Linked DNA regions of Oryctolagus cuniculus. The protein of the gene in region 2 binds, or shares a complex with, the protein of the main gene of each other region. Links are inferred from orthologs where the notes say so. Each region holds a gene or a part of one and is shown on either strand. Other genes may lie near its edges. The genes, in order: TRAPPC11, TRAPPC9, TRAPPC8 and TRAPPC12.

Evidence for each region.
Region 1: TRAPPC9 (region 2) and TRAPPC11 share a complex: the UniProt entries of both Homo sapiens proteins name them as parts of the multisubunit TRAPP (transport protein particle) complex. The link is inferred for Oryctolagus cuniculus from reciprocal best matches to the Homo sapiens genes TRAPPC9 and TRAPPC11.
Region 3: TRAPPC9 (region 2) and TRAPPC8 share a complex: the UniProt entries of both Homo sapiens proteins name them as parts of the multisubunit TRAPP (transport protein particle) complex. The link is inferred for Oryctolagus cuniculus from reciprocal best matches to the Homo sapiens genes TRAPPC9 and TRAPPC8.
Region 4: TRAPPC9 (region 2) and TRAPPC12 share a complex: the UniProt entries of both Homo sapiens proteins name them as parts of the multisubunit TRAPP (transport protein particle) complex. The link is inferred for Oryctolagus cuniculus from reciprocal best matches to the Homo sapiens genes TRAPPC9 and TRAPPC12.

The regions. Positions count from the first base shown.
Region 1 is NC_091433.1:65,463,757-65,471,579, reverse strand, and holds the start of TRAPPC11 (trafficking protein particle complex subunit 11), read right to left. Parts: upstream 4,664-7,823; 5' UTR 4,524-4,663; intron 2,527-4,523; 5' UTR 2,506-2,526; coding exon 2,302-2,505; intron 1-2,301. Other genes in the region: RWDD4 (RWD domain-containing protein 4), read left to right, coding at 5,150-5,173. UniProt on the Homo sapiens protein: Involved in endoplasmic reticulum to Golgi apparatus trafficking at a very early stage.
Region 2 is NC_091437.1:165,567,090-165,574,824, forward strand, and holds the start of TRAPPC9 (trafficking protein particle complex subunit 9), read right to left. Parts: upstream 4,261-7,735; 5' UTR 4,126-4,260; intron 1-4,125. UniProt on the Homo sapiens protein: Functions as an activator of NF-kappa-B through increased phosphorylation of the IKK complex. May function in neuronal cells differentiation. May play a role in vesicular transport from endoplasmic reticulum to Golgi.
Region 3 is NC_091441.1:45,756,552-45,763,693, reverse strand, and holds part of TRAPPC8 (trafficking protein particle complex subunit 8), read right to left. Parts: intron 5,615-7,142; coding exon 5,470-5,614; intron 4,418-5,469; coding exon 4,321-4,417; intron 3,066-4,320; coding exon 2,997-3,065; intron 2,910-2,996; coding exon 2,851-2,909; intron 1,661-2,850; coding exon 1,487-1,660; intron 1-1,486. UniProt on the Homo sapiens protein: Plays a role in endoplasmic reticulum to Golgi apparatus trafficking at a very early stage. Maintains together with TBC1D14 the cycling pool of ATG9 required for initiation of autophagy. Involved in collagen secretion.
Region 4 is NC_091433.1:197,907,392-197,914,178, forward strand, and holds the end of TRAPPC12 (trafficking protein particle complex subunit 12), read right to left. Parts: intron 5,589-6,787; coding exon 5,488-5,588; intron 4,610-5,487; coding exon 4,522-4,609; intron 4,338-4,521; coding exon 4,095-4,337; 3' UTR 2,164-4,094; downstream 1-2,163. UniProt on the Homo sapiens protein: Component of the TRAPP complex, which is involved in endoplasmic reticulum to Golgi apparatus trafficking at a very early stage.

The DNA.
Region 1 (7,823 bases), on a different chromosome or scaffold from region 2:
AGAATATATGCAAACACATGGAGACTGAACAACTTGCTTTTGAATGAGAAGTGGATCATAGAAGAAATCAAAAGAGAAATCATGAAACTGTTGAGGAACAGTCTGGTTTTTTTTTTTTTTCATATTATTTGTTGAACTCTTTACTTAGTATAGAGTTAATCCTATGTGTATAAAGTTAATTGAAAATAGATCTTAGTAAAAAATAAGACTGGAAATAGGCTAGCGGGAGGAGGAAGAAGAGTGGGAGTGCCAGTGGGAAGGCAGGTACAGTGGGAAGAATCACCATGTTCCTAAAGTTGTATTTATGAAATGCATGAAGTTTGTATACCTTAAAGATTTCTGGCAAAAAAAAAAAGAGAAATTAATTCAAAAGTACATGTTTTAGTATAACATTGGCAATGTTTCTGTTATGCAGATAAGTAGCCAAATTTTCTTTTCTTAATTTTTAAGTAAAATTTTAACAAACATAAAAGACAAACAAATCAGTTTTGAACTTAATGACATTCCTCATTCCCTCTTGAGTAAACTGCTCTAGTTTATGTACTACTCCCAAGGACATCAGGCATGTCTGATTGAATTTGTACTCCTATCACCAGCTTGTTGCATGGTTCCAGGCACCTAATACAAATAAAGCACTCAAAAACATATGACACTGAATTGTTAAATCAACAGCAGGAGTCACTGTGCACTTACTCCCCATGTAGGATCTCTGTCCTTAATGTGTTGTACTATGCGAATTAATGGTAAAACTAGTATGCAAACAGTACTTTGTACTTTGTATGTCTGTGTGGGTGCAATCTGTTGAAATCTTTACTTAGTATATACTAAGTTGATCTTCTGTATATAAAGATCATTAAAAATGAATCTTAATGAAGAATGAGATCGGATGGTTTGTGGGTGGGAGAGTGGTTATGGGGGGAAAAAAACGCTATAACCCAAAAGTTGTACTTTGAAAATTTATATTTATTAAATAAAAGTTTTCTAAAAAAATATGACATTGAAACAAACTGTAAAGACTATGGATTCTATACTGATATTGATAACAAAGAAAGGGAAATGTGAGATCTTCCTTTTAAAGATTTTGCTCAATATATGGAGATGTGGGGAAAAGCAAGACTCATAGGATAGAAAGGTACATAAAGTAATTATTCAGCTGGGTTTTAAAAAGATAATTGTTGGGGCCAGCGTTGTAATGTAGCAGATTAGGCTGCCCCTGCAATGCCACATCCCATGCGGGTGCCAGTTCACATTCTGGCTGCTCTACTTCCGATCAGGCCCCCTGCTAATGCACCTGGGAAAGCAGCTGAAGATAGCGTAAGTGCTCGGACTCTTGTCATCCATGTTAGAAACCCAGATGAAGCTCCTGCCTCCTGGTTTTGGTATGGCCCAACCCAGGCCATTGCAGCCATGTGGGAAGCGAACGACATGGAACATCTCTCTCTCTCTCCTCTCTCTGTAACTCTGCCTTTCAAATAAATAAACAAACCTTTTTAAGAAAAGGCAGAGAGAGAGAGAGGTCTTCCATCTGTTGGTTCACTCCTCAGTCGGTCACAACAGCCGGAGCTATGCTAATCCGAAGCCAGGAGCCAGGAGCTTCCTCTGGGTCTCCCACATGGGTGCAGGGGCCCAAGGACTTGGGCCATCTTCCACTGCTTTCCCAGGTCATAGCAGAGAGCTGAATTGGAAGTGGGGCAGCCCGGACTTGAACCAGCACCCATATGGGATGCCGGCACTGCAAGCGGCGGCTTTACCCACTAAGCCACAGCACCAACCCCATAAACAAATCTTTTTTAAACATTTTATTAAACATACATGAACATGTCTATGGTTTTCTTTTCTTTTTTGAAGATTTATTTATTTATTTATTTACTTACTTACTTATTTATTTGAAAGTCAGAGTTACAGAGACAGAAGGAAAGACAGAGAGAGATGTCCAGATGGTTGCAATGGCCAGGGCTAGGCCAAGCCAAAGCCAAGAGCCAGGAGCTTCCTTCCAGTCTCCCACATGGGTGGCAGAAGCCCAAGCACTTGGGCAATCTTCAGCTGCCCTCCCAGGCTCTTTACCAGGGCGCTGGATTGGAAGTGGAGTAGTGGGGACAATAAGCCAGTGCCTATTTGGGATGCCTTCATTGCAGGTATCAGCTTTATCCACTACACCACAATGGCGGCCCCAAAGTTTTCTTTCTATACAAGTACAACCATTGTCTTGATAAACTCAGGTTTCCAGCACAGACAACAGTAACACAAAAAGACATACATACACAGAGAAAGAGTGAACCCATGAAATCATAATGTCATTACCTTGGGTCTACATTTGGGATACTCATGGTCACCTGGGAGCACCTTGAAAGAAATTGGTACTCGGTCAGCTCTCCGATTGGCACAGAAGGCATCCCAGACAGCTCTATGTACAGCATTATACACGACATCCAGGCCCGTAAGGGTAACAAAGGCCATAGGCCGGCAGCATAATTCCACAGGGAAGTCCCACTGTGTGGGGCTCATGGTCAGGTTGTCATGAAAAAGCTGAAAATACAAATGAAAACACATTCATAAGCAATTCTTTCAGATCTATTTCTAATATATGGACCGCCACTGAAAAAATTACAAAAAGGCAAAAAGCTTTGAGCAAGCTGGAAGTAAGGGAACTAGAAATCACTTACAGAACTTTAAATCAGTGCTGTAGCTACGTAACAAGAACATACAAACCACATAAATGATTTTACATTTTCTACCAGTCATATTAAAAAGAAACAGGTGAATTCATTTCAATAACACTCTCAGTAGGTCCCAGATATTATCATATCAACAACATAAAAGTTATCAATCAGATATTTTACTTTCTTTGTACTACACTAAGTCTTCACATTTTGGTGTGTATTTTATCCACACAATATTTCAATCTGGACTAGCTTATTTCAGATGCTCAACAGCCACACATGGTTACTGTGCAAGATGGACAGCTGTCAACTGGCAAATCTGTCCCAAATGTACTGTATAAAAACTGCACCTAGGGCCGGCGCCGCGGCTCACTAGGCTAATCCTCCGCCTAGCGGCGCCGGCACACCGGGTTCTAGTCCTGGTCGGGGCGCCGGATTCTGTCCCGGTTGCCCCTCTTCCAGGCCAGCCCTCTGCTGTGTCCAGGGAGTGCAGTGGAGGATGGCCCAGGTGCTTGGGCCCTGCACCCCATGGGAGACCAGGAAAAGCACCTGGCTCCTGGCTTCTGCCATCGGATCAGCGCGGTGCGCCGGCCGCAGCGTGCCGGCCGCGGCGGCCATTGGAGGGTGAACCAACGGCAAAGGAAGACCTTTCTCTCTCTCTCTCTCTCTCACTGTCCACTCTGCCTGTCAAAAAAAAAAAAAAAAAACAAAAAACAAAAAACAAAAAACTGCACCTAGGCCGGCGCCGCGGCTCACTAGGCTAATCCTCCGCCTTGCGGCGCCGGCACACCAGGTTCTAGTCCCGGTCGGGGCGCCGGATTCTGTCCCAGTTGCCCCTCTTCCAGGCCAGCCCTCTGCTGTGGCCAGGGAGTGCAGTGGAGGATGGCCCAGGTGCTTGGGCCCTGCACCCCATGGGAGACCAGGAGAAGCACCTGGCTCCTGCCATCGGATCAGCGCAGTGCGCCGGCCGCGGCGGCCATTGGAGGGTGAACCAATGGCAAAAGGAAGACCTTTCTCTCTGTCTCTCCCTCTCACTGTCCACTCTGCCTTTCAAAAAAAAAAAAAAAAAAAAAAACCTGCACCTAAAGCTTTGCCATACTCAACTTTAAAAATTTGGGCAGTTAAATATGCATGCTTATTCTCCAGCAAAGGCTGGAAACATGAAGGTAAAGAGAGATATACACTGAATGCTTCCACGAGGAAAGCTGAGGAAGAGAAATTTTCAGATTTCCTGAAGGAAGCCAACGGAGCCACAGATCAAACCATGACGTGGAAGGAGGTACAGGGGTACAAGTGAGCATTCTGGGTGGACACCACCGAGTGCAAGGGAAGCAATCTGTCAGGCAGCATGACAAGTAATTATAATAATGCGGCTTTACTATAACGAACTGGAGTTCAGGGGGTAAGACTAACGTCTACTAACAACGAGATTCAGAGATGATGTCCTACACCAATCGCAACTACAAAATGAGCAAAGGAGGAATGAACTCAGTTTGAGGCCAAATGGTTATTTAAAAAAAAAAAAAAAAAGTCGATGGTGAGGATGTGGAGCACAAACTCAACTGAGGCTTAGATTCCATCCCCGTGGTCACAGAATTCTGCCCCAGATAGCTCCAATGAAGGAAGCTGGAGAAAGAATCTTGCACAAAAGGCATCTTCCTCTTCTATCACCCCACCCCGTTAAGTGGGAGGCGCGGGGGGCGTCCTGGAAATGGGTGCGTCTTTTGGGAGGGGCTGGAAGAGAAATGCCAGGACTGCACCCTCACACTTAGGGAAACGCAGGCCCCAAAACCAGTGCTGTTAAGAGCTAGCTCTTCCTCGGCGGCCTCGCCTGGCCCCATGGGTCTCTGGGCCCGGACTCACCCAGGCCGCACGCCCCGGACCCGCAGCAGCCGTGGCCGATCGCCGCCAGGCGGGAGAAGATGACAGGAATGACAGGAAGCAGGCCGAGAGGCCACAAAACGTCCGGACCCGTCCCTATGGCCGCGGCCCCGCCGCAGGCTCCAGCAGGCCGGACCTCCCGGTCCCCACCTCCTCTGGCACAGGAAGCACTTTCTGGACGTGAGTGACAGCGTCCTACACCAATCGCCGCCCTGGAGTCGGACGCCGCTCTCCACAACGCGAAGGAAGCTCTCCAAGTCCAACGAGAGAAAGAGTCGGGGGCGGAGATGGAAGGAGCCAATGGGAAAAACGAGGGGGAAGAGGGGGGCGGAGCCTCCGCCGGTACCGCCCCGCAGCCTCTCCTCAGACTCCGGGTCGCCTCACCCACGGCGGCCTCCGGCTCCCGGAGCACAGCCGGGCCCCTGTGGTCGGCGCCTGGACGCTGCCGAGAGCCTCGCGGCGTGCGTGACTCTGGTCTTCGGCTGCGAAGGGTGCGTGGCCCCGCAGCCGAGGCGCGGAAGGGGGACGCCCCGGCCTCGGGGGCCAGTGCACTTGTGCCCTCTTCGTTGTGAACGCCAGCAGCCCGGGAGAGCCCCGCGACTGGCGCGATGAGTGCCAACGAGGACCAAGAGGTGAGCCCCACCCGAGGCTGGACGCCCGTGTTCCCGCGCAGGCGCGCAGCCACAGCCCGGGGCCCGCACGTGCCCTGCGCCCCGCGCGCCCTCCGAGCCTGGCCGGTGCGGTGCGAGAGAGGACAGGCGTGCGTGAAAGGGTGGGGGCCCGCCTCTGCCTGCCCACTCCCTGCCGTCTTTCATATTTGCTCACCCGGGGGTCTCCGCAGATTTCCTTGATGACCAGGGTGACTGTCCTTGGTCCATGACCCAGTTGTCTCCTTGACTCCCGCGTGGTGTTCAGAGCTTGTGCCCTGAGCTGGCCTGGAATCTGGTCACCTCTAAGTCCTAAAAACTCTTGACTGGTAGAGAGTTAACTTAGTTAAGTCTCCTAGTGGAGAAAAATAATGACCCGCGTGTCTCTGGTTTCTGTCCAAATTGTTTTATGAAATCATTTTTCCGTGTTGGCAGATGGATGCCGAATCTTGAGTATACGGCGTGCCATCAGAATTGTATGCTTCGTGCGCACGTATTTTCTCTTTAAAATTCTGTTTTGACACGTTGGAGGGACGCGCCAGGTCACCTCTGGGGGCACCTTCTACCTTTGTGATGGGTAAGGCGCAGTGAGTGGCCCCCGGACCGCGCCGTGAGGCTGTGCTAGGATTGCAACCAGACCCCAAGCCTCCTGTGCATTCGCTAATACACTTGTCAGGTATTGCTTTAATTAGCACTTCCACACGATAGAAGTGATAGCATCTGTGGATCAGAAATTAGCTTTAAATTAAGACCCAAAGTTCAACAAGCAAGTTGACACCTGAATTCCTTCAAAGCAGTTTTGCTACGGGAGTCTCTCAGCCAAGGCATTACTAGCTTTGTCTTCCAGCAATGCACAGAGCATACATGAAGGGGAAGGTTTCTCCAAGTTGGAACCATTTGAGTGATTGTTAAATAAACAACCTGCACTGCACCCCACTCCGTTTGAGTCAGAATTTCTGCGGTGGGGCCCCGAATCTCCATTTCCACTCTTCCATGTGACTGATTTTCAGATCTTTGAAGACAGTTTCCTGCCCAATGTCCTTTTCTTGGCAAAATTGTTCCCTTAGCTTTTATTCCTAAGCCCATTATTTCAGTTCCTTTACCATCCTGGAATCCTGTCAGCCGGCAGGTTCTAAGCTTATGTCCTGTTGTCAAATTGTTGCAAAACGCCTTTTCTACAGTTACATTCAGTAACGTTCACTGTCAACTAAACCGTTTAAGTGCTTTTTATAAAATAATTTGTCTTTCTCTATTTGTGTATCTAAGAATGTAAACATAATTTCTTCTACTTAATGCTGTTTAATTGCATCACGAGCATGTTTTTTAAGGACATTTTGAGTTCTTAATTCTGCCGCCAGCGTGATGCACTGTCCCATCATTGAACCTGCCTTTTGTTTATATTCCTGTTCCAGTCATTAAGGAGTAGCTGTATTTTGAGTCAGTTGTTTATAACAGTCTAATCTTCTTAGTTGTTCCTGAATCCAGTTTGAATTTCTATATTTTTCTTTGTAAAGGTAACAAGAGAAACTTGTGGAGCTTTGCTAAAATCTGTGTAGACTGTTTCCTGCTGGTCTCTGAATCAGAAGTACCATCTCTGAGAAGGATTATTTACATATGCCCTCATTTCATATATTGGCTAGGTTTTAGGGACTACTCTTTGTTCTCCCACCATTTCTTAAAAAATCAATTCTAAACTTGTGTCCATGTCACAAGGTCGCCATCTTTACTCTGTAGAATTCATGGTTACACCTTTTTGAAAACCAGAACATGTACACGAGGGCAGTCTTCTCAGAGAATTGTCCGTGGTCAAATGGTGCTTGAGACTCAATCTTTATATTATTATTATTTGTATGTATATCATAAATACAACATTAGGAACATAGTAATTTTCCCACTGTACCTGCCCTCCCACCCACTCTCCCCTGCTTCCTCCTCCCTCTCCTCTTAAGTCCGAGAAGAAAAAGAAAGAATGAAATTTAAAAAACTAAAAGAACTGTTCGTCAACAGTATAGACAAGGGCCATTCTATGTCATAGCTTCTCGAAGGTGATTTCGCTTTTTTCCCCCTTCCACAAGACCAAGTCATTTGTAAGACCACTGTATTCTAAGAAACACTCCCCAGCAAAGTTGCTAGATACGTTTTGTGTTGCAGTCCTTTCTCCTATCTTGAGTAGATCCTTACCAACCTTTCTCTTTAAGTTTTCTTTTTTTTTTTTTTTAAGATTTACTTATTCACTTCAGAGGCATAGTTACAGACAGAGAGAGAGGTCTTCCATCCCCAAAAGGGATGGAAGGTTCATCCCCAAAGGGAGCTGCACGGATCCTAAGCCAGATGCCAGGAGCTTCTTCTGGGTTTCCCATGCAGGTGCAGGGGCCCAAGTAATTGGGCCATCTTCCACTGCTCTCTCAAGCCATTAGCAGTGAGCTGGAGCAGAAGTAGAATAGCAGGGACTCGAACCAGCGCCCATATGGGATGCCAGTGCCACAGGCAAATGCTTAAACTATTATGCCACAGCGCACCGGCCCCTAGTTTTTTTGTACAATTTTTTTTAAGTTTTAAATCATCTCATTAGAGAGATTACAAATATAGTAATTTATGTAATAGGAAGTTCTTGTGCTTCGTATTTTTTTTTTTT
Region 2 (7,735 bases):
TACGCTGCTCCTTCGCAAAGCCCCAAGAGGCGCAAAACAGCAAGTGTGTCACAGACACAGCTCGGCCTGAAGCCAGGGGCAGGAAACGCTCAGGGTCTCCCAACTGAAGTAAAATGAGGACAGCAAGGAGAGTGAGCTGTCGTAAAACTAACCCCAAGTCGTAAGTGTTGACAAGTATGAACTCCCACTCCCTTTAGGTTATGCACCTCCTGGGTTTTGGTGTTAAACCATCTGTGCTCCAGGGCTGGTGCTGTGGCACAGCAGGTTAAGCCTCACCTTGATGCCGGCATCCTACGTGGGCGCCAGTTCATGTCCCGGCTGCTCTACTTCCCAAGCAGCTCCCTGCTAATGCACCTAGGAAGGCAGCAGACGGGCCAAGCGCTTGGGCCCTGCACCGCATGGGAGACCCAGACGCTCCTGGCTCCTGGCTTCAGCCTGGCCCACACACCTCCAGCCGCTGCAGCCATTTGGGGAGTGAACCAGTGGATGGAAGAGCTCTCTCTCTGTGTCCCTCCTCTCCCTCTCTCTCTGTAACCCTGCCTTTCACATAAATATTCTTTAAAAAATGTTATACTTTCACAAAAAGATGGTGAGAGGGGAAGATGGCCATTTTCTGAGCATCCTGTCTCGGCAAAAATAAAAACGGACCCTCAGCTGTCAGCCCTCCAGCCACTGGGATCTCGCTGACTTATGAAACGCCAATGACCCCTCCAGTTCTCCAGAGGCACTGAGAAACTGGAGAGGGTCACACCCATGGCACATGGGAGACCCGACGGCCACAGGCAGAGGCCACCGAGAACCAGAGCCACCCTCTTGGGAACTGTCACTCCAGATTCATGCTGTGTATCCAACGCTGTACAAACAAGCTCCACACACCTGCCCGGGCTCCTTGGGAGTCATGCCACACTGACACCACAGACACCCCAACAAACAAGCACCACGGGCCCCAGGCCCCGCCCACAGCAGCCTCAGCAACCAATTGCCACTCTAGAGAGAACCTGATACCGCTTTTGTGTCTGCCAAGAAACCACCCCAAGAGCCCCCCTTAGCCCTGGGGGGCACTCTCCACGGTTTCCATTACCTATGGTCAACCGTGGTCCACGAATAACACCTGGGAAGCTCCAGAAATAAACCATCTGTAAGTTTTCAATTACACGCTGCTGAGCAGTGAGGAAGGCCGGAGCAGCACTCGGTGAGCCACTGCACAGCTGTCTTGCTGTGGGAGCAACTACAGGGATGCCGCAGTGTTTGTGGTCTCGGTTACCCAAGCAGCCACAGTGGTGCGTGCTCAGGGAACCCTTAATTCACTTACTGATAGCTCCGAGTGCTAAGCAGAACTGCTGGCAGTTTCCGCACTGTGACTGTCGTATTTCACTGTCGGTTATTGTTATTCTCTTGTTGAGCTTCATTTAGCAACTGAGCTTTGTCACAGGCACATACACATGGCAGAACACACAGGACATGCACTAGCCATGGCTTCAGGCACCCCCGGAAGCTGAACCCTGGGGGTGAGGGGAAGGCTGTACAAACCTTACAACATAAGAAGTGTGTTTCTTCAACCTAGTAGTGCCTCAAAACGTTAAACGCAGAGAGCCAGCAGTCCTACTCCTGAGTCCTACTCAAGACCACGTGGGGGCCGTGCTGTGGTGCACTGGATTAACGCCCTGGCCTGAAGCACCGGCATCCCACGTGGGCGCAGGTTTGAGACCCGGCTGCTCCACTGCCGATCCAGCTCTCTGCTGTGGCCTGGGAAAGCAGTGGAGGATGGCCCAAGTGCTTGGGCCCTGCATCCGCATGGGAGACACGAAGGAAGCTCCTGGCTCCTGGCTTCAGATCAGCACAGCTCTGGCCATTGCTGCCAATTGGGGAGTGAACCAGTGGATGGAAGACCTCTCTCTCTCTGCCTCTCCTCTCTCTGTGTAACTCTGACTTTGAAATAAATACATCTTTAAAAAAAAAAAAAAAAAAGACCCTGTGTCCACTCCAGAAACTGGAACGTGAATACCACAACAGCATTGTTCACAATAACCAGGAAGTGGGAAAAGCAGATGTCCAGCAGGCTAAACAGACACGCAGTACTATCTCCACGCGACGGAACAGCGCTCAGCCAGCAAAAGGAGCAGAGCGCGGAGGCACCTCCCACCACGGAGGGAGCCTGAACACAGGCCACTGTGTGAAGGGAGCCAGACACAAAAGACGCGCGCTGCGTGGCTCCACGAACGCGCAGCGGCATGAACGCGCAAGCCCATAGACAGGAAGTCAGCCAGTGGCCACCAGGACGGCCATGACCGCTCACGGTGCAGAGCCTCTCCCGGGGTGACGAGTGTGCTCTGGGAGGGCAATGGCCACTCAGTGGACTGAGGCCACTGAACTGGACACTGTGGACAGTGGACATCAGGATAGCTGAACGCCATCATTTCCTGACACCTACTTTTTCCTCTACACTATTCGTCAGCCACACAATTCAAAAAGCAAACAGGGGCAGCCGAGTAGCACAGGGAGTTAAGCCGCCAATGGGAGGTGCGCGTCCCACACCAGCTGCCTGGTCCACGGACCCTGCTACCCACTACTTCCAATCCAGCCTCCTGCTAAGGGCACCATGGGAGGTAGCGCTGACGGCTCAAGGACTCGGGTCCCTGTCACCCCTGCGGGAGACCCAGATGGAGCTCCTGGCTCCCAGCTTCCGCCTGGCCCAGCCGCAGCTGTTAAAGCCCTTTGGGGAGCAAACCAGCAGATAGAAAAATCTGTCACTCTTTAAAATAAATGAAATCTTTAAAATAATAATTTAAACACATAGAATAAAACCTTGCCATCTGCAAATCATGCTCCTGGTGCCCCAACTCCATGTTCACCACAGTGGCCTGCATGGGGAGAAGCTATAGCCCACTTTTTTTTTTTTAAGATTTTATTTATTTGAAAGAAAGAGTTACAGGGAGAAGTAGACACAGACACACACAGAGAGAGAGAGAGGTCTTCCTTCCACTGGTTCACTCCCCAAACGGCTGAGCTGATCCAAAGCCAGGTGCCAGGAGCTTCTTCCGGGTCTCCCACGCGGGCGCAGGGGCCCAAGGACTTGGGCCATCTTCTACTGCTTTCCCAGGCCACAGCAGAGAGCTGGATCGGAAGTGGAGCAGCCGGGACTCGAACTGGCACCCATATGGGATGCGGCACCCACTGAGCCCCAGCGCACTTCTCAAAGCATCAGCAGGTGTACGGCACAGCAGGTAAGACCCAACGGAGATTCCCACCTCCCGTATCCCAGGGCCTGGCTCAGCTTCCACCGTCCAGCGTCCTGCTGTAGCAGCTGGTGCCGGCTCCTGCCACGCCCCCTGGGAGACCTGGACTGGGTTCCGCCTCCCGCTTCCAGGGGACTGAACTCTGCCTTTCCCATCAAATAAACATTCAAGGAAGAACACAGATCTCCCAGGCTCACGCCCAGCGATTCTGATTCCTCAGGTCTGCCAGCAGTCAGTGCACGAACCTACTTTTAAAAATAAATACTAAAGGACGGTGCCGGGTTTAAAGTGCGTTCCAACGGCTGAGTTTCGCATCTCCAGCCCGTCGCCGTGAGCGGACGCTGAGAGAGCGCACAGCGCACCCTAACGAGCGGAAACTCCGCGTTCCCCGCGTCTACGCGCACAGGGTGCGCTGTGGACGCGACCTCAGCGGGACGACTCGCGGTGGACACTGAAGGCCCGGGGCCGCTAGTGGCCACCGCCAGGCCAGCACACGAAAGGCGCGAAGGAGCCTCCGGGCAGCGGCAGCGGCGGGGACCCCGGGCCCCCCGCGCGGGGTCGGCGGGCAGGGGGCGTCGGCGCTGCAGGCTGTCCCGGGAAGAAGCCGGCGGCCGCAGAGCGCCAGGAGGCGGAAGAGCGGAAAGGGTACGACCGCCTCGGACCAGAGAGCCCAGGCCGTGCGGGGCCCGGGGCAGGTGTGGGCACGGCCCTGGACAGGTGCACACAGGGCGCGAGGCAAAGGGAACGGGGCCTGAGGCAAGCGCGAGCTGGCCCCGCGGGGCGGGCGGACCCGGCCAGGTGTGGGCTGGGCGAGCCCCGCAGCCGGACACACCGCCCTCCCGCTGCCGGCCCGGACCCCCAGGCCGGGAGCCCCCCGGGTTGCACTTACACAGCCGGTGGCCCCGGGCCCGGAGCGGGAGCCAACGGCCTGGCGGGCAGCGGGTCCGGGCAGCCTCTACAGCCGCTTCCCCGCCTCAGCACTGGAGCTCCCGGCAGGCGGCGGCGCCGGCGCTACTACCGCGCGTGCGCGGAGGCTGGCCCCGGGCCGCGATCCGCGCCGGGGTTTGTGGGAGGTCGGGGCGGAAGCGCGCGAGGGAGGCGAGGGGTGGGGAGGACGGTGACGCGGAGCGCGGGGGCGGCTGCTGCTCCCTGGGCCCGCCCTTTCTCCTGGCCTCCCGCCGACCCCTCCGGCGCCCCTCGCATCCCAGAGCCGAGCGGGCATCCCAGAGCCGAGCGTCGGGGTGCGAGTGCCGGCGCCGTCTCCGATACAGCCCGGAGGCCGCGGCTAAGGGCTCGGGTTCTGGGGTCCCCGCCGCCCCCGTGGGCAGCCTGGTTGGATGGCCCCTGCGCCCAGGGTCGGGCTGTGGCGGGCCTCAGAACCAGAGCAAGGAGACCTCTGTGCGCGCTTTCCAAAGCAAAAGATAGATAGATATATAGATAAAGCCTTTTTAAAGCCGCCTCCCCAAGAACTCCTGCGGCAGAGCGCCCGCAAGCCCCCGCCCCCTGTCCGGGTGTGCCTCCTGGACACGCCGGGGGTCCGCCGGTGCGGTAGCTGGCATCGCCAGCAGGTGAGAGGGCCCAGGGACCCAGCTCCCGGGCTGGGGCGGGCCCAGGGTACGACGCGAGCGAGAAAGAGGCTGCCTCCCCCGTGTGCTTTCATCACTCTTTGGATCTCTCACCACATGCGTGGGTTTTATTTTCCCATTAAAAATGCCTTTTGGAAAGTTGTTGGACAGGAGTGACCCCTCAGCAGGCGCAGCAGTGGGAAAATCTTCGGAGGCAGTGGTTTTTTGCTTTAGGCCAGCAAGCGTTTATGGACTCTCTGCTGTGTAGCCAACGCTGTTTTATGGCGTATTTTATTATTCATGTTGTCTATAAAATAATAATATGCTAGCCCTCATCCCTGCCCAGGGCCAGTGGGAGAACAATTGAGTTTTTGTTGGCTTGTTTTCTGAGGAGCAGGGAGGAGCTGTAAACAAAGCAGGTCCCTGGGGAACAGTGGGGAGACCAGGGCCTCAGGGCTGAGGACCAGGACCACCCAGAGGGCGGGCGGCTGCCGCTGGTGCTGGGCTGGACAGGGGTGGGGGGAGAGAGGCATCTTCCCAGTCCACCACGGACACAGATCTGTGCTCAGCTCACGGCCCTCTGAGAGCCAAGGTAGAGCCTGCTTGAGCACTGAGGGGTGGGCACAAGGATGCACGCAAGCAAGTGGCGGGAGCCGCGTGGCCCCGTGGTTGTATGCCCCCCCAGTTCTTGCCAGTCCTGTTCTCTCTATAAATGGGGAGCACTGGGCCTTGGGCACCGCGTTGCCCTGTGTCCCACCCTCCTGCTGGCTGGGCCTTGTCCTCCCAGCACACGGGGGGCGGGGCTCCTGTTGTGGCCTCTTCAAGGAGGACGCAGAGGCTCAGGGTGGAGGAGGGCTTGCTCAGCTCGCCACCGTCCCGCCAGGGCGTCCCGATGGGTCTCGCGGCTCTCGCATTTCCCAAGCATCTCTCCTCTGCACGTTGAAGACTCAAAGACGATTCAGACCTGTCCCAGGAGTTTGTAGACAGCTGGGGCTGCAAGGGACCTCTAAACAAGGTCCAGCAGCAGACCCACACCAGGTCCCTCTGCAAGAGACAGGAGAAAGCTGCTGTGACAAACTGCCATCCATCAGCCGCATGCCTGAGATAGCAGGCATGCCGACCTCGCGGGTCTGAGACTGGAGCCTGACACGGTCAGGTCTGGTGAGGCTGCCGGACTCCCCCCGTGGCTGGCTCACCAGCCTCTTCCCACACCGTCTCTGCGGATCCCCCTGTGGCTGGATCACCGACTTCTCATGCCTTCCCCTGGATCCTCCCATGGCTGGCTCCCCAGATCCCCCGTGGCTGGCTCACCGGCCTCTTCCCACACCGTGTCCCCAGATCTCCCCGTGGCTGGCTCACCGGCCTCTTCCCACACCGTGTCCCCAGATCCCCCCGTGGCTGCTTCACCGGCCTCTTCCCACACCGTCTCTGCAGATCCCCCCGTGGCTGGATCACCGACTTCTCATGCCTTCCCCTGGATCCTCCCATGGCTGGCTCCCCAGATCCCCCGTGGCCGGATCACCAGCTCTTCCTGTCAAGGCACTGATCCCACTCAGGAGGCCCCGTGCTCACGACCTAAGCACCTGCTAAAGGCCCCACGCCACACCGTCACACAGGGGACTGAATTCAGCCCTGTATGGGGACGGGACACACACATTCAGCTCACGACAAACTTTATCGGAAAATTCTCCAGGACACCGAGCCAGAAGCCACCTCCCTGAAACACTCAGGCCATCTCACAAAGAACAGGACTGCGGCTGGCACGGTGGTGCAGCAGGTCAAGCTGTCCCCTGCACTACCAGCACCCCGCAACTGAGTGCCCGTTCCAGTCCCCGCTGCTCCCTGCTAACGTGCCTGGGAAAGCTGCGGAAGATGGTGTAAGTCCTTGGGCCCTTGCCACCCATGTGGGAGACTCAATGGGACTCCAGGATCCTGGCTTTGGCCTGGCCCAGCCCTGGCTGTTTTGGACATTTGGGGAGTGGACCAGCAGATGGAAAATCAGTCTTTCTGACTCTGCCTTTCAAATAAACAAATTCTTTAATAAAATTAAAAGAGAATCATCTCAAGTTTAACAAATCAGGCTGGTGCTATGGCGTAGCAGGTAAAGCTGCCACCTGCAGTACTGGCATCCCATATGCACACTGGTTTGAGACCCCGCTGCTCCACTTCTGATCTGGCTCTCTGGCCTGGGAAAGCAGTAGAAGATGGCCAAGTGCTTGTGCCTCTGTGCCTGCGTGAGCTCTTGGCTCCTGGCTTCAGATCAGCCCAGCTCTGGCTGCTGCAGCCATGTGGGGGGAGTGAGCCAGCAGATGGAAGACTTTCTCTCCCCCTCTCTGCCTTTCAGATAAATCCTAAATAAATAAATAAAACAATGAAGACACTGAAATTTAAAAATAAAAAGTGCAGGCCAAAGCCCCTGCTTCAACTGAACCTAACTACATGAATACCAGTAAACAGATAATCACTTCATAAGGATAAGGCTGTTTAGGATGAAAGAAAAAATTATGGGGTTGGCATTGTGGCGCAGTGAGTCCAAGTCCCCACCTGGGATACTAACATCCCATACGGGCACTAGTTCAAGTCCCGGCTGCTCCAATTCTGATCCAGCTCCCTGCTAATGCACCTGGGAAAGCAACAGAAGATGGCCCACATCATTGAGCCCTGCACCCATGTGGGATAACTGGATGGAGTCCCAGGCTCCTGGCTTCAACCTGGCCCAGCTCTGGCTGTTGTGGCCATTTGGGGAATGAACCAATGAACGGAAGCTTACTCTCCCCCTCTCTATAACTCTGCCTTTCAAATAAATAAGTCTTTAAAAAAAAAGTTTGAGAAAGTGAAATGAGACAGAGTGGGTCAAATTGTCACATGCTACTCTCATAGTTTTGGAATACAGTGAATATGCCTTTATTTCCTAGGATAATTCCTGTTGATGGT
Region 3 (7,142 bases), on a different chromosome or scaffold from region 2:
CTGTTAATTTTGGTTTTGACTGCCTGGGCCTTTGGGGTCTTTTCCAAGAACTCTTTCCCCAATGTTCTCTAATAATTTGATGGTGTCGGGTCATAGATTTAGATTTTTAATCCATGGGGGACTTTTGTGTAAGGTGTAAGGTAGGGGTGTTGCTTCATACTTCTGCATGTGGAGATCCAGTTTTCCCAGCACTATAAGTTGAAGAGACTGTCGTTGCTCCAGGGATTGGTTTTAGCTCCTTGGTCAAATATGAGTTGGTTGTAGACGTTGGGATTGATTTCTGATATCTCTATTCTGTTCCATTGGTCTATCCATCTATTTTGTATCAGTACCAAGCTGTTTTGATTATAACTGCCTTGTACTATGTCTTGAAATCTGCTACTGTGATGCATCCAGCTTTGTTTTTGTTGTATAAGGTTACTTTAGCTATTCGAGGTCTCCTGGAACTCCATATGAATTTCAGCATCATTTTTTTCTAGATATGAGAAGAATGTGTTTGGTATTTTGATTGGTATCGCATTGAATCTGTAAATTGTTTTTGGAAAAATGGACACAATGATGATATTGACTCTTCCAATCCACGAACATGGAAGATTTTTCCATTTTTTGTATCTTCTTCTATTTCTTTCTCTAATGTTTTGTAATTCTCATTGTGGAGATCTTTGATGTCCTTGGTTAAAATTATTCCAAGGTACTTGATTTTTTTTTGCAGCTATTGTGAATGGGATTGATCTTAGAAGTTCTTTCTCAGCCACGGCATTATCTATGTATATGAAGGTTGTTGGGTTTTGTGTATTGACTTTATATCCTGCTACTTAACCAGACTCTTCCGTGAGTTCCAATAGTCTCTTGGAACATTTTGGATCCCCTATGTACAGAATCATGTCATCTGCAATAGGGATAGTTTGACTTTCTCCTTCCCAACTTGTATCCCTTTGATTACTTTTTCTTGCCTAATGGGCTCTGGCTAAAACTTCCAGGACTATACTGAATAGCAATGGTGAGAGTGGCCATCTCTGGTACTGGATCTCAGTGGGAATGATTCCAATCTCTCCCCATTCAATATGATGCTAGCTGTGAGTTTGTCATAAATTGCCTTGATTGTGCTGAGGAATGTTCCTTCTAAACCCAATTTGCTTAGAGTTTTCATCATGAAAAGGTATGTATTTTATGAAATGCTTTCTCTGCATCTGTTGAGATCACTGTAGTTTTTTTCATTATGTGCTGTTTTTTCACCAGTTTGTTAATGTGATGTATCACACTGATTGATTTGTGAATGTTGAACCATCCCTGCATACCAGGGATAAATCCCACTTACAGTGGATGGAAGAGCTCTCTGTCTCTGTTTCTCTCTGAAACTCTGCTTTTCAAATTAATATTTTAAAAAATTTTTAAAAATAAGAAACTGGAAATTTTAAGTGTAAAAAAATAGAGGTATACATTTGTTCTTCAGCTTTAAGAATCCAAATAATTTAGTAACACATACCTTCCATAATATGATAATATTCAGATCCACCTCACTGCACTTTTGAATCAGTCTCACAGCATCCTCTGCTGATCGTTTTTCTGGGTGCATAGACAACTGAACTTGTGGTTTTTTCAAGTCCGAGGATAAACTTCGATAAAAGAAGTCTGCACATGGACTTGCTGAACTTATTATCTGTTGAAAGAAGTAACTTATCTAAGTGAGCTATCAATTTATTTTGTCACATATATTTAGTCTCAAATTCTGACAAAATTCATATTTTAGTACACTTACATAACTTGCCTGAAAGTATTCCAAGAGAAACATGATAAAAATCACAACCTTAATGTAATTTAGTAGTGTTGCTGATATTTCTAGAGATGTAAGAATTTTTTTTAAAAGAAATAAACAAAACAGATAACTAAAGTCCTTAAAGCTAAATTCAACCATTAAAGAATCACAGTATCTTCAAAAGTCCTACGTGTGTGGGAATTACTGGGCTTCTGGAGCTGCTTCCTCAAATGATCAACTGATAATCACAATGTGAAAAGTGAAAAAGTGTATAAGTACAGTTTGTAAGTACAGTTTTAATTATCAAGAAGAGCACAAACAAGGTGGTATCCTGCCGCTTGGAAATAATTACATGGACTTTTACACACTATGTTCAGTATTTTTGAAAATAAGTCCCCAGTGAATCTCAGATGACCTGCAGGGCTAGTTAAAAATACATACTCCCTATCTCTACCCAAGATATAATAAACCAGAGTTCTAGAGGTGAAAGGGCGAAGCCTGTATTTTTACAAAACCCTCCAGATGTAGGTCCTTAATACTCAAAACTAGGATTTGCAGACTAACAAACACCTAAATCTTACTGGGGTTGATTGTAACAATTTAGAACATCGGATTCTATCCCACTTAAACTAAATCAGAATTTGCATTTTATAACAAAATGTCCAGTGACTTAAATGTACATTTTTTGAGAATTTGAAAACACTGTTCTAGGTGATTCTTGTGCCTAGCTTATCATTTGGGCCTCAGAACCACAAGATATACCAAAATCCACATAGTTTTAACAGCTAGATGTTTACTCTGATCATTTTCTGAACTAAAAGGAAAGCTCCCCTAAATAATCCTTTTTTAATTTCAAGAAGTATACTTATTTCACATGACAGACTCAAAAGAAAGTTAACTTTAAATAATTAATTAAATAGTATAGTCCACATCCTATTTTTGGTTTGTTTAGGGGATGGACATAGAATGCAAACTCAACAAAGATATTCATCTTCCAGAGACTGAAAATTACAAAAGCTATAGGTTCCAAAAACAATCAGATATTCCAGAACAACTTTGAAATAAATCAACCACTATTGTGCTTATTTGCATACCTGTTCATTTCCAAAGATGATATCTGCAAAAGTATACTTTTCTGAGGACTGCATATTAGCTAAAAAACAGGAGAAAAAAATAATGTACCACTGACATAAAATACAAAATGGTCATTTAAGAAAGTATGAAAGCAAAATAAGTTTACCTTCTTTTTCCTTACATCTTATTGCCTTGAAGCAAAACTTTCCTTTCTCCCTACTGGCAAGTTTGGCGTCTAGAAAAAAAAATTTTCAAAAATGTTTCTCAGTTTATGACAAGGTAAAATTGAACTCATTATTCCAATTTTTTTGGTCAAGCTGGAAAATAATTTACTGAGTATAATAGTGTTTAATAAAAAACATCTTTACTTTCATCTCAATGAAACAAATGTTTACAAACATCTTAAAAAAGACAAACTTCAATTTTCTCAAGATACTCATATATTATCTGTGTGTGCATATATTTATAAGGATACTTCAAAAAGTTTGTGGAAAATAATTAAAAGATGTTGATTTTGGCACAAAAATTTCAAATTCATGGATATATGGGATCTTAAAATCTTTGTGAAAATTTGGATGGGTGACAAAGCAGCATGAATTCCAAAATTTTTATACCAAACTAAACTTATCTTTTAATTCAATTTTTCCACAAACTTTTAAGTACCTTATGGGTCTATTTCATTCCAGATTAAAAAGAAGCTTCAAAGATAAAAACTTTGGGGCTTCAGCCCAATCCCACCATTCTGTCATTTGTTTCTTCTTAGAAAGTTGTAATAGATATGATTTATACCAATATTATTATATGCACATACTTTGCTATTGTGCATTTTTCCATTATGGCAGGCAATGAAAAAATGTTAATACATGTATATTTTAACAACTGAAAGAATCTGAATTATAGCATAATTTACATTAAAACTATACTGAATTTTCCCCTATAAACATAACAGTGTAATAAACTTCAGAGAATATATACATTTTCCCATATTTTGAGTTAATTCCCTTCCATAATATCCAAAAGTAAGGATTAATGTGAGGTTAAGGGTTTAAATATTTTATGTCTTTTGAAAAAAAATCACACAATTCTTGTCCAGTAAGAGGACAAGTATCATTTTTTCAGTTTCACCTCAATCTTACAACTGCTGCCTCCCTGGGTGCAAATTATTAACAGGGTGCAGAGCCAGGAATAAAACCTGTACAACTGATAATAGGATCTGAGCATACCAAGCAACATCTGAACCACTGGGCCAAATGCCCACCATATTTGAATTTTTGACAGTGATCATATGACTCACTGATTTTACAAATTAAAAAAAAAAAAAGAAAAAAAAGTGCAAGGGAATAAAAATATGGGAAAGACTGGATCAAGATAGGTGATTTAAAGTCACATAAACTAATGAAAATGTAAGGTACCAATAATCTTATAATCTGGCACTAAAGCAGTGAAGATGTCAAATTTATTTTTAAAAAAAGGGGGAAAAAGCCACAAACCTTTGTTTTCTGAGAGATTTACAGATTTATATAATTTCCAGTGTTTGCTGCTACTTGATACTTGTACTATATGGAATTCCTTAACACCTGCTTCACTCTGTCAAAAAGAGATGTGAGTCATTTGGAATTTAAGAACAATAAATCAGAATATTCCAATGAGGACAAAAGTCATACATTACAAAGTCAGTATCAATTAACATAAGATAAAATTTGTAATTTGAAAAAAGTAACAATACATATTTCAAGAGGTTTGGGCAATTTAACTATCTCTCTAAATATTCTTAAAAAAGAGAAATTGGGGCCGGCACTGTGGTGTAGCAGGTAAAGCCGCTGCCTGCAGTGCCAGCATCCCATATGAGCGCTGGTTCAAGTCCCGGCTGCTCCTCTTCCGATTCAGCTCTCTGCTATGGCCTGGGAAAGCAGCAGAGGATGGCCCAAGTCCTTGTGCCCCTGTACCCGCGTGGGAGACCTGGAAGAAGCTCCTGGCTTCAGATCAGTGCAGCTCCAGCTGTTGTGGCCATTTGGGGAGTGAAACACTGGATGGAAGACTTTCTCTGCCTGTGCCTCTCTGTAACTCTGCCTTTCAAATAAAATAATTTTTTTAAAAAAAGATAAATCAACATTTAACCCAAGAAGTATTTTTTCCCCTTATCTGAGAGCAGACAAGAGAGAGAGGTTTGGGTGGTGGGGAGGAGGGTTTGGAGACAGATAAGCAATGACAGAGGCTGGGCCATTCTTGAGCATATAACTCAGTCTAGATCTCTCAGTTAGGTGGCAGGGACTCAAGTACTTGAGCCATCACCTGCATTAGCAGGAAGCTAGAATTCGGAGGGGAGGTTGGACTTGAACCTAGGCACTCTGATGTGGGATGCAGGCATTTCAAATGGCCAATTAATCGCTACACCAACTGCTGCTCCCCAAAATCTCAGTTAGATTGAAATTATTACCATATGGGGCTACTTGTCCTATAATATGTAGCATATTAATACTAGCAGATCCTTTTATTTTAAGAGTATGAAGAATGAAATTACAAAATTAATGGAGACATAAGATGGTATCACATTATTTTAGTTTCTATTCTTTTGTGACAGAAAAAGAAACTGTTAAGAACAAAGGAAACACTTCAGACATAATTGAAAACCAACTTACAGTATTGGTATTCTCCACATCCACAAAGACTAGCATATTGCCTCCTTTGCCTTCTTCATCAAGAGAATTACTTCTGCAGACAGTGGCTCGTACATTCAAAGATCGGCTGGTACAAATAACTGCAGTGTGTCTTAATATTCTGTGCCTAAAGAAAAGTTAAAAACAAGACCAAAAAAGAGTTTATTCTAAGATCCTCTCCGTATGTTCTGATTCTCTAATTCCAAATAAAAATTTTAAAAAATGGATGAATCTGGTGAGCATCTGGCCTAGCATTAAGATGTGGGTAAGAATACAGGTTTTCTGAGTCTCAGCTGATTCCCAATTACAGCTTCCTACTGTTGCAGACCCTGGGAGGAAGAGGTGATGGCTCAAGGACTTGGGTTCCTGCCTCCTATGTGGGAGACCTGGATTGACTTCCTGGCTCCTAGCTTCAGCCCAGTCCAGCTTCAGCCACTGCAGATTTGGGGAGTGAAACAGTGGACGGGAGCACTGTCTGCCTCTCAAATTAAAAAAAAAAAAAAAAAAAAAAAAAGATACAATAAAGTAAAATGAAGTAAAAACCTAAATCCAGTTCTACTCCTTCTCTATTTGGAAGGCAACTGTAAGTCTCCCTGACTCTGGGCATTTTCTCTGTACATCAAACTCATCTATATAATATATGAAATAACCTTTCATATAGTAATGTCTTGATTAGGTCTCTTCTCTGATAGTATTTCCAAAGTTACTGAACAACCACAAAATATACTCCAGCCTTTAACCTGGCATTCAAAGCTCTCTACCATATAACTTTATATTGCAAAGGTTCATTCCCCCTTTACTTCTTTCACAGAGATTTTACACCATGGCTGAACTGTATTTATTTTATGTTGCCTAACTTGTAAATCTTTGTTCATAAACACACCCACTCCCTGGAGTACCCACTCCTCTACTGACTATCTTCATGATAGCCAAATTCTGAAATGTTCACTCTCCTTGGAGGAAGCTCATTTTACTACCACCAGAGTCAACAAAGCTTTCCCTGAATGGGCCAGAGTACTCCCTCTCTCTATCATCTTCTTAAGGAGAATTAACATTTACTGAAGGACTAAACCATACTCAGTACTTAAAAATATTATCTCATTTTGCCTTTCTGTAAGTTTTAGAAGACATTTTATTTAGATATTTCATTAAGTAAAATAATCATAGTACAATTACTGCTAGCTAATTCTCTAAAATTGACAGTAGTGCTATCACTGTATATTCTGCTGTACAATAAATAGGCTACAGATCCTGCTATGAGCCAGGCAAATTTGATTTCTTCAATGATTAACCACTGTAACACCAGCATGTTCTGCAAATACACACATTTTTTTCATATATTCTCAGAGAAGGGAGGACATAAAGGAAAAGGAAAGGTATAATAATTTTCTTTAAAAAGAATGAATATAGGCAAGTTGTCTTTAACATATAAATGATACTGTTTTAATACATGGTGCATGTTAATTTCATTATCATCTGATGACTGGCCACAACACTTAGTCATATCTTCATTAAATTTATAGATAGAAGCAACTAAAGTTAAATTTTTTCCACTTTCAGCTACCTAGAATTTATAGTTATATTCAGGACAATCTTAGATATGTATAATTTGCAAGGAGTAATTTCTTGATACATAATGATATATATTAATGAAT
Region 4 (6,787 bases), on a different chromosome or scaffold from region 2:
GAAAGCCCAGCAAAGGAGGCTGTGCAGCGGGCCTGCGTGGGGTCCACAGAGCACTGACCCTGCACGCACGGCCTCTGCCCAGCCGCTCCAGAACCTGGGAGCACCGCAGGAAGGTGGGAGGCCACCTCACAGGCCTCGTGGAGGCGGAGTGGTTCAGTGCGCCCAGCCAGGTGTTCAGGGACCCAGGGCTGTGGCTGAGGTCGCGGCTGGGCGACATTGGCTCCATGCGGCTGATGGACGCCCTGGCTGGAGGCTGCACTTGGTGGCCGGGTTTCCAGGTGACAGCCCTCGTGGCCCCATGACCCTCTCCTCTGGACAGTGCAGGTGCTCCTCCTGAGATGCAGGCGCGTGCCCAAGTGAAACTGAGGCAACAGATGCCAAGGGCTCACCCGTTCGTTGCTTGTCCTTAACCCCGGAGAGAAGACAAAGCTTGCTCGGGAAGGGAGAGTGACGGCTCTGAGTGACAAGAAAACTGGTATCACGACTTCTTGGCAGGCAAACCTTTCCGACAGGCCTGGCACCCCGGTCCTGCTGGCAGAGAGCAGGAGCTGGGCCTTTTCAGGTGCCTGGGGGTCCCTCGGTGAGGCCTGTGGGTCTGCTCTTGTCCCTCACCCAGCCCCAGGGTCTGTTCTGGTTCCTGTTGTCAGGAGACATAAACTGAGCTAATGCACTCCAGGCATGGAGAGAGCAGAGCAGGTGGACTTGGCGATGAGGCCCAAGGCACACGCCATTCCTGAGCTTTTGTAAAAGCCCCATCACATCCACCTGCAATGGGCACGGGGTTCAGTTCTGGTTGTTCCTGCAAGGGGGGGGGCCTAGATGGGCAGCTTGGGCGCTGCTGGAGAGGGGTAGTGTCTCTGCTGCAGGCCACTCTGCCTGGCACGCCGACCGCTGGGCCACAGTAGCAGGGCAGCAGCCGAGGGCCTCCAGGGCAGGGGCAAGGGAGCCTTGGTGGTGGGGCTTACCCCTCCCCGGCCCGACATCAGGCAGGCCATTCTGGTCCTGTCTCAATCCTGGGCCCAGGGCCCGGTTCCTGGTCACATCAGGACCTGCAGAGGACTCTGGGCCCAGCTGTCGCTCCTGTCCCTGATGGCAGAGGTGCCCAAGGCAGAGGAGGGCAGAGGGCTGTGCACCTGGGCCGTGGAGCAAAATACCCAGTTGGCGTCTTGAGCAGCGTCCTGCGCATCCTGAGCCACTGCACATTTGCCTGCTGGGCACTTTGCTCACACATGTGAGACACGGGGGGAATTGCGAGGGAGGTGCAGTGGCCCAGAGGCGACTGGGATCTTCCAGAGGAGCTCAGGGGCTGGGCATGGAAGAAGAGGAGGCCTCACCAGCCAGGGCTGCTCCAGCCAACATCAGGGCCTCTGTGGGTCTGTCCCACTCCAGGCAGCTGTAGAGGTGCGCGGCACAGAGGGCCTGGGATGGTGGGTACAGGAGCAGGGCCATCTCCAAGTCTAGGGCTTGGCCTCTGTGGTGCTCACGAGCCTGCTCAACAGTGGGAGACACACTCGGACACAGGCAGGTCTGGGCCTCTGCAGCCACAGGGGCCCTGGTGTGGGCACCAGGAAGCTATGGCTGCCTCCTTGCTCGGGGGCCATGTGCTGCCTTGGTGATGGTCCGAGCACTGTACGCAGAACACACTGGTCATTCAGTAGCGATGGCCAGAGGGGAGGTGGTGTTCACGTGCACTGCTCTTTCAAGAGCAGGCAGTGTGTGGCCCAGGATTAACTTAACGAGGCTCCCAGGGTTCCAGATGGAACGCATGCCCTTTGATGGCTAACCACTGTCCACCTGGCTCTGGGAAGGGTTTCAGAGATTATGTATTTATTTCTAAATTTTGTATTTATTTGAAAAATTGAGAGACCAAGACATAGAAAGATCTCTTACCTGCTGGTTCACACCCCAAATGCCTGGAACAACTTGATCCAGGTCTCCCAAAAGGGTGGCAGAGACCTGGTACTTGAGTCATCACCGCCGCCTCCAGGCGCTGGACTGGAAGTGGAGCTGAGACTCAGCTCAAGCGCTCCCATAGGGGTGAACTGTCCCAGGCAGCGTCTCAACTGCTGTGCCAAAGGCCTGCCATTACGGCTTCTTATATTTAAATAATTTTTTAAGATAACAAGATAGGTTACAGCAATTATCCAGACATTAACATTCATAGCAGTTCTCCTCTTCAGCCTTTATTTATTTTTCATAAGCTTTTTAAAAATTTATTTATTTTGCAAGAGTTATGGAGAGGGAGACAGAGAGAGAGAGAGAGAAACATCTTCCACCTGCTGGTTCACTCCCCACATGGCCACAACAGCCAGTGCTGGGCCAGGCCAGAGCCAGGAGCCAGGAGCCAGGAGCCAGGAGCTTCTTCTGGGTCTCCCCTGTGAGTGGCATGGGCCATCTTCTGCTACTTTCTCCAGGCCAGTAGCAGGGAGCTGGATCGGAAGTGGAACAGCCAGGACACAAACCAGTACCCATATGGGATGCCAATGTGCAGGCCACAATGATGGCCCCTTTCTGTAGGAACAGGCTAAAACACCCAGGCAGGAGCTAGCGATGGCGCTGCCACCTCCGTGAGCTGGGCCTAACCTCACCTGCCCCCGGGGGACAAATCACCTGTGTGGCCTGGCCTCCCATTGTCCCTTGCTGGTTCCAGTGTCCGGCAATGGCAGCTGGGGAGGAAGACTGGCTGCAGGTTCAGTCTGAAGGGAGCCTGGCTCCTTTCTCACCTGCCACTCCTGGGTGTCCACTGCCTCCCTGCACTCCCATAGTCAAATACGACGCTGATTTTCCCTCTTTGTGGAGAGGAGGATGTGAAGGTCCCTGGGAGTGTCCAGCCCTCCAGGCGGGGTCACCTGCTCTTCTGCTCTGAGGCGTCACTCACGTGCGCCTCAGCAAAGGAGTGGGGCCATCTGCCTGCAGCTCTGATTCGTACACGCACTTCTCAGCCCCGCATGTCGATCACAGCTCACGGGTTAGAGAAGCCGGCATTACAGGGTCCTGGCCAGAGCTGCCTGGTAAATGCAGACATTTTCAGGGACTTACGGTTTCAAAAGCAGGAATAACTATGAAAAGATGAGTGCAAATGTGCGGACTGGCCTGGGCTCAGACCCTGCTGACCCTCGAGGGCCCTGTGTTCCCGATGCTGCTGACCCCCGGGTGCTCGGGCTCCGACCCTGCTGACCCCCGGCAGCCTGTGTTCAGACGCTTCCTGGTTTTCTCACGCACCTGAGCTCTGTGTTCTGCTCACTCCCGGGTGCGGCTCTCCCTCTCTGCCCTCTCTGTGGGGCGCACGAAACACAAGAGAAACCAGGACCCACCGTTCCACCTTGGTCAGTGAACGAGACGGGTGTGAGGAGAGAGGGCGGGAGGAGGACGCTGAGCAGCCGTGGACAGCGGGAGATGCGCAGCCTGGCTGTTGCAGGCATCTGGGGCGTGAACCAGTGGACTCAAGGTCTGTGTTTGGCTCTTTGCCTTTCAAATACAATGAAGACAGATAAATAAATAAGAAAGGAACAGGCTGGCTTCCAGGAGAGGTGAGGGAGGTCTGGTGCACACTGCAGGCCTCCTGCCTGGCACACCATCTCCCCTCGTGTGCATACCCAGGGACGTGCCCACCTTGGGCAGGCCTGGGCTGTGGCTCCAGAAGGAGGCTCCCATGGGGCGGGAGACGGGCCTTCATGGCTATGCCACAGCCACACGCATGTGCCACTCCATGGTCCACTCTCACACTCTGGCTCTAGGAGACGGGCCTTTATGGCTGTGCACAGCCGCACGGTGTGCCGCTCTGGTCTACTCTCACACTCTGGCTCTAGGAGACGGGCCTTTATGGCTGTGCACAGCCGCACAGTGTGCCGCTCTGGTCTACTCTCACACTCTGGCTCTAGGAGACGGGCCTTTATGGCTGTGCACAGCCGCACGGTGCGCCGCTCTGGTCTACTCTCACACTCTGGCTCTAGGAGACGGGCCTTTATGGCTGTGCACAGCCGCACGGTGCGCCGCTCTGGTCTACTCTCACGCTCTGGCTCTAGGAGACGGGCCTTTATGGCTGTGCACAGCCGCACGCATGCGCTGCTCTGGTCCACACTCACACTCTGGCTCTAGGCCAGCTTGAGGCACTGGGTGTTGAAACTGTCCCCTTCTTTGCCGGCCACGGCCTCGAGCAGGCTCTGCTTCTTCTGCATGCTCCGCGAGGACTCCAGCTCGTACATGGTGGTCAGGTTGAACAGCACACTCTCGTGCAGGTAGTGCCTGGGGTCCCGCTGCACCATGGCCTCCAGCTGCCGCAGCGAGTCCTTGAGCTTGCCCAGGTAGAGCAGACACACGGCGGCGTTGTTGTTGGCCTGGAGGCGGGGCCACGTGCAGGTCACAGGTCACGCCCAGTGCACCTGGGCCTGACACTGGGGTAGCCCGTGACCGCCACAGTCACCCGATGCCTGTGCCTGTGAGCAGGGCCAAGGCTGGCCCCGAGCACTGCGACGGGCAGAGGGGTCCGAGACACAGGACAAATGCCTGCGGGGGTCTTACCACGGCGTTTGTTGGGTCCATCCTCAAGATCTCAGTGAAGAATCTGTGGGCTTCGGCGAAGTTGTTCTGACCCAGGTGCAGGAACGCTCTGCAGCAGAGGCCACGGGCAGAGCCCTTCGTTAGCCAGGGAATGTCAGGGTGCTAGGGAGGGGAGGGGTCCCCCACCTGGAGGGGGCTTCAGAGGCTGCAGGATGGCGACCCCGGCCCTCTCGACAGAGGCAGTACCGCATCTGCCTGCCTGACCCGGCCCAGTTCAGGCCACTCCCACCCGTGGACTGTGGGTACTCGTGCCTCACGCTCCTGTCCTGAGCTGTGTGCACACTCTACTGGGCACAGCCTCTGCTCACACGTGTGTCCCTGTGCACAGCTCCCTCACCGACACTGGATGCACACCCCAGGACCGATGGGTGCAAGGTGGCGGGGCACTGCGGACGGCGCCCACGCCTGCTGAGCTAGACAGAAGGGGGGCCACACGAGCAGTTCCCTGAGGAACGCCGGGGAAAACCTCCTCCAAGCCAGCTCGTGTGAGGAAAGCACACCTCTGCAGTTCAAGAGGACGCTGGGCACCCTCATCTGAGCCGGGCACCCTCATCTGAGCCGGGACGGGGCGTAAGAGGACGCCGGGCACCCTCGTCTGAGCCGGGACGGGGCGTGAGAGGACGCCGGGCACCCTCGTCTGAGCCGGGACGGGGCGTAAGAGGACGCTGGGCACCCTCGTCTGAGCAGGGACCGGGCACGAGAGGATGCCGGGCGCCCTCGTCTGAGCCGGGACGGGGCGTGAGAGGACGCCGGGCGCCCTTGTCTAAGCCGGGACGGGGTGTAGAGGATGCTGGGCGCCCTCGTCTGAGCCGGGACGGGGCGCGAGAGGCAGTGTTCTCTCTGGAAGATTGCATTGCTCGGGAAGTTGTGTTTAGACTTTGTTTTAGGAAGTTTGAGAAAATAAGTATGCAGTTTAAAAATACTCACCTGTTCATTAAAACCATTATTTTACCCTGTAGTCCATCCAATTTCTGCATCACTTTCTCAACGTCTTGAAAATACTTCTCAGCCGTTTTAATGTCTCCAATCTGTGTGGACAAAATCAGAGTCCGTTTAGCTGAACGCTGAGAGAAAGAGCCCAGCCGCCCCGCGGGGCCGTTCCTCGCTGTCCTGTCACGATGCCAAGGCTTCTGGGCTGCAGCCGTGGACCCTGCGGCGACCGATCGTAGCTGGTGTCTGAAAGGCGGCACCGGACACCCAGGACACGGCGGTGAACCTGCGCTCTGTCTGTCAGCAGTCACATTGTCTCACAGCTTAGTAACTTCCAGACTTAAAAATGAATGCTGGCACAGCACTAAGCAAAACAGAACTAAGATGAGATGACTGACTGCTCAGTAGTAACAATAACGCACTTAACACGCTGGCATTTGGGACAGGGGCCATGGCCGTTTTTTGTGGCTACCAAATGGCAGGTGCCACCGACTTTGCAAAGTTCAAAGAAACACTTTGACCAAATACTACAGAATTTTACTGAGAAAAACCAAACCAAAGCACACAATGCAAGCCCAGCCTTAACAGCAGGCAAGGAAGCCGCAGTCAGCAGGGCCAGCCCGAGGGTGAGGAGACCCTGAGGGCGAGGAGGAGACCCCTGCCCAGAGCTGCGGCCCCTGACGCCCAGCATCCGCCCCTGCCGAGTGTGGGAGCCCAGCAGTGTCCCAAGGCAGAGTCGGCTGTCTTCTGCCTTCAGAAGCGCGAGGGAGGAAATCAACGCTCCAACGCTTACAGTGGGAAGAATATGCAAAGGAAAGCTGTCCCCAAGGGTAAGGCGTGAACGCACCTGCTGGGTGCCGTGCCCTGCCCCACCGCCGCAGCAGGCAGCCTGCAGGACGTGCCGGGCCACCCTGTGTGCTGTCCACATCCTCAGAAGCAGGGGAGCGTGGATGGACCCGTGGCTGAGAACCCCTTGGTAACGTGTCTTTCCACTTTGCAGCGGAAGCACCTGCCCCTCCCTGGGTCCTGCGTGCATTCTTCGAGGACCTGGCGGGAGACTCTTCCTTGGCTCTCGGGTCCCGCTCCTCTTGCAGGCACAGGCACCGCTGCTCCTTGTTCCAGAACTATCCTTTCACAGATGTCTGTAAGCTTCCTTTCAAGGAAGCTGCACAGCATCCTGGGGGGTGGCAGTGCTCCGTGTGTGGTGTAGAGCCCCACCTCGGGTCACTCTGCCAAAACTCTGCCTTCACCCCCGACCCAGGAATCTCCCGCATCCCAAGAAAATGGCAGAATGAAA